Linked DNA regions of Nothobranchius furzeri. The protein of the gene in region 2 purifies or fractionates together with the protein of the main gene of each other region. This does not show direct contact. Links are inferred from orthologs where the notes say so. Each region holds a gene or a part of one and is shown on either strand. Other genes may lie near its edges.

The links.
Region 1: the proteins of polb (region 2) and parp1 purify together in Homo sapiens (affinity purification with mass spectrometry; 4 studies listed by BioGRID and IntAct, counting the BioPlex papers as one, with this or other methods). This does not show direct contact. The link is inferred for Nothobranchius furzeri from reciprocal best matches to the Homo sapiens genes POLB and PARP1.

What each region holds. Positions count from the first base shown.
Region 1 is NC_091742.1:4,979,657-4,983,950, reverse strand, and holds the start of parp1 (poly [ADP-ribose] polymerase 1), read right to left. Parts: upstream 3,007-4,294; 5' UTR 2,883-3,006; coding exon 2,760-2,882; intron 1,059-2,759; coding exon 893-1,058; intron 605-892; coding exon 489-604; intron 398-488; coding exon 183-397; intron 177-182; exon of another isoform or gene 162-176; coding exon of another isoform or gene 1-161. Other genes in the region: adorb1a (adenosine A2c receptor), read left to right, coding at 1-161. UniProt on the Homo sapiens protein: Poly-ADP-ribosyltransferase that mediates poly-ADP-ribosylation of proteins and plays a key role in DNA repair.
Region 2 is NC_091757.1:55,610,242-55,614,061, forward strand, and holds part of polb (DNA polymerase beta), read right to left. Parts: intron 3,584-3,820; coding exon 3,517-3,583; intron 3,437-3,516; coding exon 3,317-3,436; intron 3,210-3,316; coding exon 3,151-3,209; intron 3,050-3,150; coding exon 3,000-3,049; intron 2,838-2,999; coding exon 2,786-2,837; intron 2,661-2,785; coding exon 2,606-2,660; intron 2,536-2,605; coding exon 2,463-2,535; intron 2,386-2,462; coding exon 2,315-2,385; intron 2,232-2,314; coding exon 2,145-2,231; intron 2,040-2,144; coding exon 1,972-2,039; intron 1,848-1,971; coding exon 1,708-1,847; intron 770-1,707; coding exon 675-769; 3' UTR 1-674.

The DNA.
Region 1 (4,294 bases), on a different chromosome or scaffold from region 2:
TGCTGCTCACCGCCATCATCCTGTCACACGCAAACTCCACCATCAACCCCTTCCTATACGCGTACACCATGACGGCTTTCAGGGACACGTTTAAGGACATTTTCTTGTGCTGCAGGACGATGAGCAGCAGGAATAACATCGCTGAGGAAACAAATCTCTAAACTAAACGTTTGTCATCTCACCCCTCAGATTTGACAGCAGGGAGCCTCTTCTTAAGATCGTTCTTGTCTTCGGCGCGCAGCGCGTCGAATCCCTTCAGCTGGGCGGCGGAATAATCGGGCTTAAACACCAGTTCCTCCCTGCGGCTCACGAAGCACGCCGTGTGGTACCAGCGGTCGATCAGACCCAGCTGAGGTTTCTCTGGGTCAACCGTTTTCTTGGAAACACGAATCTGATCCTGAAAGAGAAGCAAAAATACGGCAGACATGTGAAGTATTTATGACACGTGTTCAACGGTTATTGATTAAGACATTTCCTGTGCTGCGGACCTTTTCTATTTTTTGCTCGCAGCCTTTGCACGTGCTGCGGTTCGACTTGGCGTACTCCACGGCAAAGTTATTCAGAGTTTTGGCCCCTTGAGCGGCACCTTTTGAATCACTTTTCCCTGCAAGATGCAAAGGAAAATAAGTCTAAACATTTAAAAAAAATATGCATTAATAGTAAATGATAAATTAAAAACATTTAGAACAACTTGAGAAATGGCACTCTTTTGACTTTTTATGGATCACTTCACTTTTTTATCTGGCTAATAAGACAAAGTTAAACCAATTGAAAGTAGCTATCTTAAGCTCTTTTGCTTACGATCCAATCCAATTTTATTTATAAAGCGCATTCACAAGGCATTACAACCAAACAAGGCGCTGAACACAATAATTAAAGATCTACCACCGACCTGCTCCGACAGCTCCTCCAGTCTCAATAGCCTTTTTGACTTTTTGCTGGTCCTCCCAGCGAAGAGTGGAGAACCCGGCGATGTCTGCTTCAGTCTGAGCTGCCGCTCGCTGCCAGAAGCAGGAGAAGTGGTGCCAGTGTGGGACTTTCCCATCGAACATCGGGGACTGGAGGACAAAAACAAGACAATGAAGCAACAGCAAATATCAGAAAAAAAAGATGAAAAAAAAAAACAAAACCATTAAAGTGAGAATAAAGGTTTTTCTGTTTGAATTTTTCTGGTTTCTGAATTTGAATGTTGTTTTGTTGTTGGATTTCTGTGCTAGTCATGGATTGTTGTCGTTTCGTCTGACCTGCGGCCGCGTGTCTTGGACACTCGGGTGAAGAGAGGGGCGGAGCAGGCAACTGACAACTACCTGGTGGTGAGTTGGCTCAGATGGTGGGGGAGGATACCGGTCAGACCAGGCAGGCCCAAACGTATCGCGAGGGTCTGCTGGGAACGTCTGGCAGAGTCTCCTGTCAGAAGGAGCTTCAATTCCCACCTCCGACAGAACTTCCAAAATGTTCCGGGGGAGGCGGGGGACATCGAGTCTGAATGCACTCTTTTCCGTGCCTCTTTTGTTGAGGCGGCCGACCGGAGCTGTGGTCGCAGGATCGTTGGTGCCTGTCGTGGTGGCAACCCCCGAACCCGCTTGTGGACACCGGCGGTTAGGGATGCCGTCAAGCTGAAGAAAGAGTCCTAACAGGTCTTTTTGGCCTGTGGGACTCCAGAGGCAGCTGACGGGAACCCGCAGTCCTGCCTGGTGAGGTTTTCTGGGCACGTCCAACCAGGAGGAGCCCTTAAGGTAAACCCCGGACACGGTGGAGGGACTATGTCTCTCACCTGGCCAGGGAACGCCTTGGGATTTCACCAGAGAAGCTGGCCCAAGTGGCTGGGGAGAGGGAAGTCTGGGCCTCTTGACTTCGGCTACTGGCTACTACCCATCTCCGGATAAGCGGATGAAAATGGATGGATGGAATTTTTCTGGTTTTACATGACAAACGTTTTTTGTGCATTAAAAAAATTCAGATTTTACTCACGTTAAAAATAAAATCATGAATTTGTAAACAAGGGTTTTCACAATTTTGTCTTTAAAACTACAGATAATAATTCTGACTTACTTATTTAAACAAGTATAACAAATAAACATATTCACAAGAATGTCAATGTTTCATGCAGCCAGAACTAAAAAAAAATTGACATATTTTGCAGAAAATACACAACACACGGTTGGGTTTTCCAACAATAAAAACAAAAAGGAACCACTGACCTGATAATATGCATTACTGTAACTATTAAGACGTTACAAAAGAAATACTATATAGACTATATTTTGTGGCTGAAACTTTAAATGTGTGCAAGTGGTAATGAATTTTCCTTCCTTTTGCAGGGGTGAGTGCTGATCTGGACCCACAGACTGACCAATAAGCAGGAGTTTGACTCTTACATGATTATTTCTCTATTGCACAGACTGGAACAGCTGCTTGTGTGATTTTTTTTATCTATGTCTCTTGAGTGGAGGAGAGGATGGAGCAGTTGTATTCTGCAGCACACTGGATGGGTCTCAGACATTGTCCTAAGTCCCTCTGAGGCGATCCAGGCGGCTCTTTGTGAGCCAGATTCATTCAGTCAGCCATTTAAATGCTAACCGGGGGCCTCACTTAGCACAACTCAAACTCCTTTATAAACTACACTAGATTAGTTTAAAGTCTGATTATTATGGTTCTCTATATGCGCACATATGATTTAGATATCAGCACGGTTATAAAAGGCTTCATAACAGAATGGTTCCTTGGTTAAATCCCTCCAGACGTCGCTACCTCCTCACCTGCACCATGAGGGCCATCCTCAGCGAGTCCTTAGCTATGCTCTCTTTGCATTTCTTGCACGAAGCCCGGCCGCTTTTCGCGTATTCCGCCTTGTAGAGCTTGTCATCTTGGGAGTCCGCCATTGTTCCTTAATGTTGCAAACAAGCAAACAAAGCGACGTGATGAAGAGGGCAACTTTCTCCGATGCACTCTCGGAGCCACCACAACAATCACAGGCAGAGCGGCGGCTGCAGCCCGCGTGCTACTTGGAGAGGAAGCTCACGAGACGAGGTCTCACTCTGACTCCGATTTACAATCCACGTAAGTTTTAACTTTGTTTTAATGTACTTTGTGGTATATTACGTTTTAGTTTGTTTACGTTATGATTCGAGACATTATGATGATTCGTTTGGCCATTTTAAACTTCTGTGTGGTCCCCACCTGTTTGTATTTTTCTCTAATGTACCGAAAAAAATCAGGGTTGAGTTGTTACACTGTAACCACATAACAACTTTGTTTATTCTTAACGGTTCATAAAAGAGAGAAACATTTGGCCACTCTAACCCAGAGCTAGAGTAGCTCTGCCCTAACCTAAATCTCTGACGCACTGTGATTTTTATCTTGAAAGGCGCTACACACATTAACTTTTCTTCTTCTACCAAGTGGGGCATCTTAAGAGCAATATAGGATCAGTGAACTGGTTCGCAGAATTCCCGCGCGAGTTTCAGCCAGAACTAATGGAGCACAGATCAATCAGATTTTTACAAAACTAAACATGAAATTCTACATGAAGCAAAACTATTAAGTATGTTAATTATAAATATATTTACAATAGTTGCATTTGTTTATAGTTGATCACTGAGAACTAATGCGCAAACAAACAATTCCAAAGAATAGTTCTGCTTTAAGATTTTTATTTGCACAATTCACATTGAAAGTTTATGTAAAAAATAAACATACAAAATGTAAATACAATATGTGTTCATCAAATGAACTTCAGTCTTTTGAAAACAAAATTTTTAAAAACTATGACCTGATTATAAGGGCCTAGATAACAATTTGGGTTCAATAACGACAATAATAATACACTGATGGAGACTTTCATTTACTCGTCTTTACAATAATTTTTCACATAGTCATTAATTAGTAAAATTATTTCTAAAAAATCTTTGGGCTTACTAATAAATATAAAAACATCTTTAACTGTAAACAAAATTGGTGGAAAATAACTCACTAAAAACGTCAACCAGGGCTTTACAGGCCACTGAGTAAAATTCTAAGAGGTATTGTGTGTTTTGGCGTAGAGGTCTCACCTCTTGCTAGCACATTTTCTAAGCAAGCAAGAAAATGTGTTGGCTTTTCTTTAACTGGACAAAATAGCATAAACAACAACTGAAAACAGAGATTTCAGATGATGAAGTTAACCTATATTATGATGCTATAAATAGTTAATTTCCAAAGTAAGGTTTAGATGAGAAATCATAGATGATTTCACCCAAGACGGTCTCAACTCATTTAGTTTTATAGTGACAGGATGGATCAGAAGGAAAAAGGA
Region 2 (3,820 bases):
CCTTTATTTCATTCACACTCAGTTAACAGTTGAATCAATTTCATAATTCCCCCTCATGCAAGTATTCAAAACCCAAACTAAAATAGTTAATGCAAATCTTGTATTCAAGTCTTACACCTTATTTTACTTTTGAAAACATCACTCAAAATGCTATTATGTCCCATTCGAACATGTATTTTTCCCCCAAACAGATAAGCAAGCACAATATTGGCATGATAACGTCTACTACCACTTTCCCCTTTGTCTACTTAGCCAAATAAGAAATAAAAGTACAAGTAAGCTGTATTCAAGAGCACCATCGTCAAGAAAAACACGAGTCTCAGCACATACATTACATGCAATAGGTCATTCCAGTTAAAAAATGACTTATCTAGACATTTTGTTTTTTTGTAACAATAAAAACTAATAAAAATAAGGTCAAATAAATTATTGTTTACATGATAAAAAACAAGTTGAAGTTATGTTCACAAGGATGTTTGTGTGTAAAGTCAACATATAAATACAGCGTTTTTTTCACAAGAGTGATGACCATTTCAATTTAGGTAGGAATATTTCAACACAAATCATTAAAAACATTTTCACAGTTACTTTCTTCTCAGCGTCATGAAGGTATGGCAAAAGCATAACACTTGTTTCTAGTAAAATCTTGTTTGCAGGACAGCTGTAGCATTGTTTTACTCGCTGCGATCCTTCGGCTCTCTGTATTTGTACTGGATGTAGTCAAAGATGTCTTTCTCACTATCCACCAGCAGAGGCTCCCCAGCCACTCCTACAACAGATTAAAAGATACAAGAATGAACTGCTGTAAATAATGTAGACAAAGACAGACACCTCATTGGGCGTTGGAGAGTGTAACGGTGTCACCACCACATTGGATGGGTTCCCCATTCTCTAAACCCAAGAGTCAATGAAGAGTGAGCAACTACGCCTTTATTTTGTACAGCTTATGGTTGCATCAACCAACGCACTATTGAAAACAGATCACGTGGGACTTTTCTAGCCTATCTTTTGGGATTTTACATTTGAGATGTTTTATGTTTATTTTATGTAATTATTTTTAAACAACCTGGAACATAACGTTGGGAAGGCCAAGGAACTCAGGCGGAACAGAATGACCCCTGCCCCCCTGCACATCAATGGACAATCTGTGGACCAAATGGAGTCTTCGAAGTGTATTGGCATCCATATCTCTGCAGACCTCTCCTGGTCAGCTAAAAACTACCATCTTTTCAACCTACTGTCCTCTGGCAGGTGCTTCGGATCCATACAGGCCAGAACAAATGGAATCAGGGATAGCTTCTTTCCTAAAGCTATCACCATAATTAACTCAAACTTGCACAATAAATAAGCTGCACTGAAATATCATCAATTTGCCTGTCTGTTTCTGTCACCCAGTACTGTAGTGTGTATTTATATTTATATTAAGTGTATAGTTAAATTATTGTATAGTTTTTATAATGTGCAAAAAAGATATTTAACTATCATGCCATACCATATGTCTGACTTTGTGAAAAAGCATAATAAAAGTATTTTTATTTGCGTAAATACATTAAACAGTAGAAATAAATGCACTGGGGGTGAATGGAGACCCATCCAAGATGGCAGCCTGCCACGGCAGCACAAGTCCACAGGGTGTCTGTCTATATGATGTCTGGTTATTGAGAACTTGAACAAAGTTCTGAGTGTATCTAGCTTTGTTCGACTCACCAGTGACACCAAGTGGTCTTATGGTGTACTCATTAAGAGTGAAGCCCTTCTCCAGGGCATGAGTCCTCATATTTTTGTTAAAGATGTCACTTCCAGTAAAATACAGAACTCCACAGTAGTATTGGTCCTTGGGAATCAACCTTTTGAAATGAAATGAAAATCAATAACTAGCAAGAAAAAAACTATTTGAATAAAGACAGAATTACTCAATCGTTATTTTGAAGCAACCTAATGTATTAAAATCTGTAAGACTTCCATATTAACCTTATATCAATACGCCTGTGAAGATATTCTTCCTCATCATCATCACTAGGCTGCAGCTGACAGACGCCCTAGAGAAAAGGGGAAAAAACCACTAGATCCAGGACATTAAGAAAAGGGTCATGTACAACGGAGGGTTGGTGTGTTTCCTCAGCTGAGAACAAAACAGGCCTCACCATGAACTTGGTGTCTCCTTTGGACAAAGTGTCGGTGACGAAGCCGACAGACTCCAAATGCTCAACCACAGCATGAAGGAGTTTGGGCTGGAAAATGAGAAACGCTTAAATGAGAGAAAGCTGCATTTACTTTAGAAAACAATGAGCCACAGAATAAACGGTGGTCTGACCTGCTTCTCGGTTTGAGAAGTGTACTTTGGGTGGGTCAATAAAATATCAATATCACCACTCGATGCTGCACCTGGAAATTATTCACCTTAATTAAAAAGCTCAACTAAAACCTTAAATTAAAAACTAATTATTTTCTACTTGGGTTACCTCTCCTGTAGCTTCCACAAATTGTTCCGATGTATTCTGTATCGATTTCTGTCAACTCTCCAAGAATAAGAGTCTAAACAAAAACACAGGATCAGTGTAAGAGAACTAGGCATAAAAGCCTTAGTAGAAATATTCAAAATCACCTCCATCTTCTCCATTTCAGCTCGTGGGATTCTTTTTTCAAATTCTTCAAAGTACCTAAGTACCAAAGAAAACACCAGCACATTTATTATGTTAAAAATACTTTTAAAACCATCAAATAATAACAGAAAATGAAGGAAAGTGGTGGTGCTGGGGGATGAGCGTATTTTGGCTGAGCTTACTTGAGCCCAATCTTTTGATGATGATTTAGCTTGTGCTCTACCTTTTTCAAATCTGAAAATAAAAACCATGAGTATCATGAGAATCAATATATAAATAAAACCAAATTTGTACACAACAACTTCATGGGAAACAATGGAGATCAGAGTCTCAGAGTCATTGGATGTGAAATGAAATTAAACAAGAAACTGTTTTAGGGGAATTTGTTTCACAAACCATCTAAAGTCTTAACCCCTTCCTCGAAGAACTTCCTTGCGGCAGCCGGGCTGTGGACAGAAAACCAAGTGATGTGGTGATTGTGTATTTAATTGTAAACATCCCCCGACACTTTTTAACTGTAATAATAGTCACAATAACAATACAATACCCAATTCCAGTTACTCTGGTAAGGAAATTGATGGAAGAGCTGGTGTCATCGTTTCGGATCTGGTAGAAAATATTAAAGTAGCAAACATCAGTCAGTGTGATGCGTTTGAATCCAAACACATTTGGTTGTTTGCTCTTATATCCATTATGCAAATATCCAAACTTACCTTTTCAAGTTTCCTTAACTTGCCAGTTTGAAGAAACTCATCAATCTTTTCTGCTATTTTGGCTCCAACTCCATCCTGTAAAATTGTGAAAAGTTGAAGAAAATTAGTGATTTTCTTCAACTTTTCATGTATGTTAATACATTAAACAACGGTGACTTCTTAACAAATGCAGCAAGTGTACAAAACTAAAAATCACCAACCAGTTTCTTGGCCTCTTCTCCACTCTTAATCTTGTTGGGGTACTTGGCAATGGTGGAAGCTGCTTTCCTATTCGCCGTACAAAAGGAATCATATGTGATGTTTTAAAAACACACCAAAACTGAAGTAATGTTAACCCTTAAGGACCCGTGGTGACACAACTGATTTCAAACACCTGCAGAATTGCTTCTTGAGTCAATTATTCAAGTTTGAAAACCTAACTGACATTCTATCCATACATATATTGAAAATTATTCTACTTCTTTATTTTATTAAATAATTTTTTACATTCTGATGTATTTATTC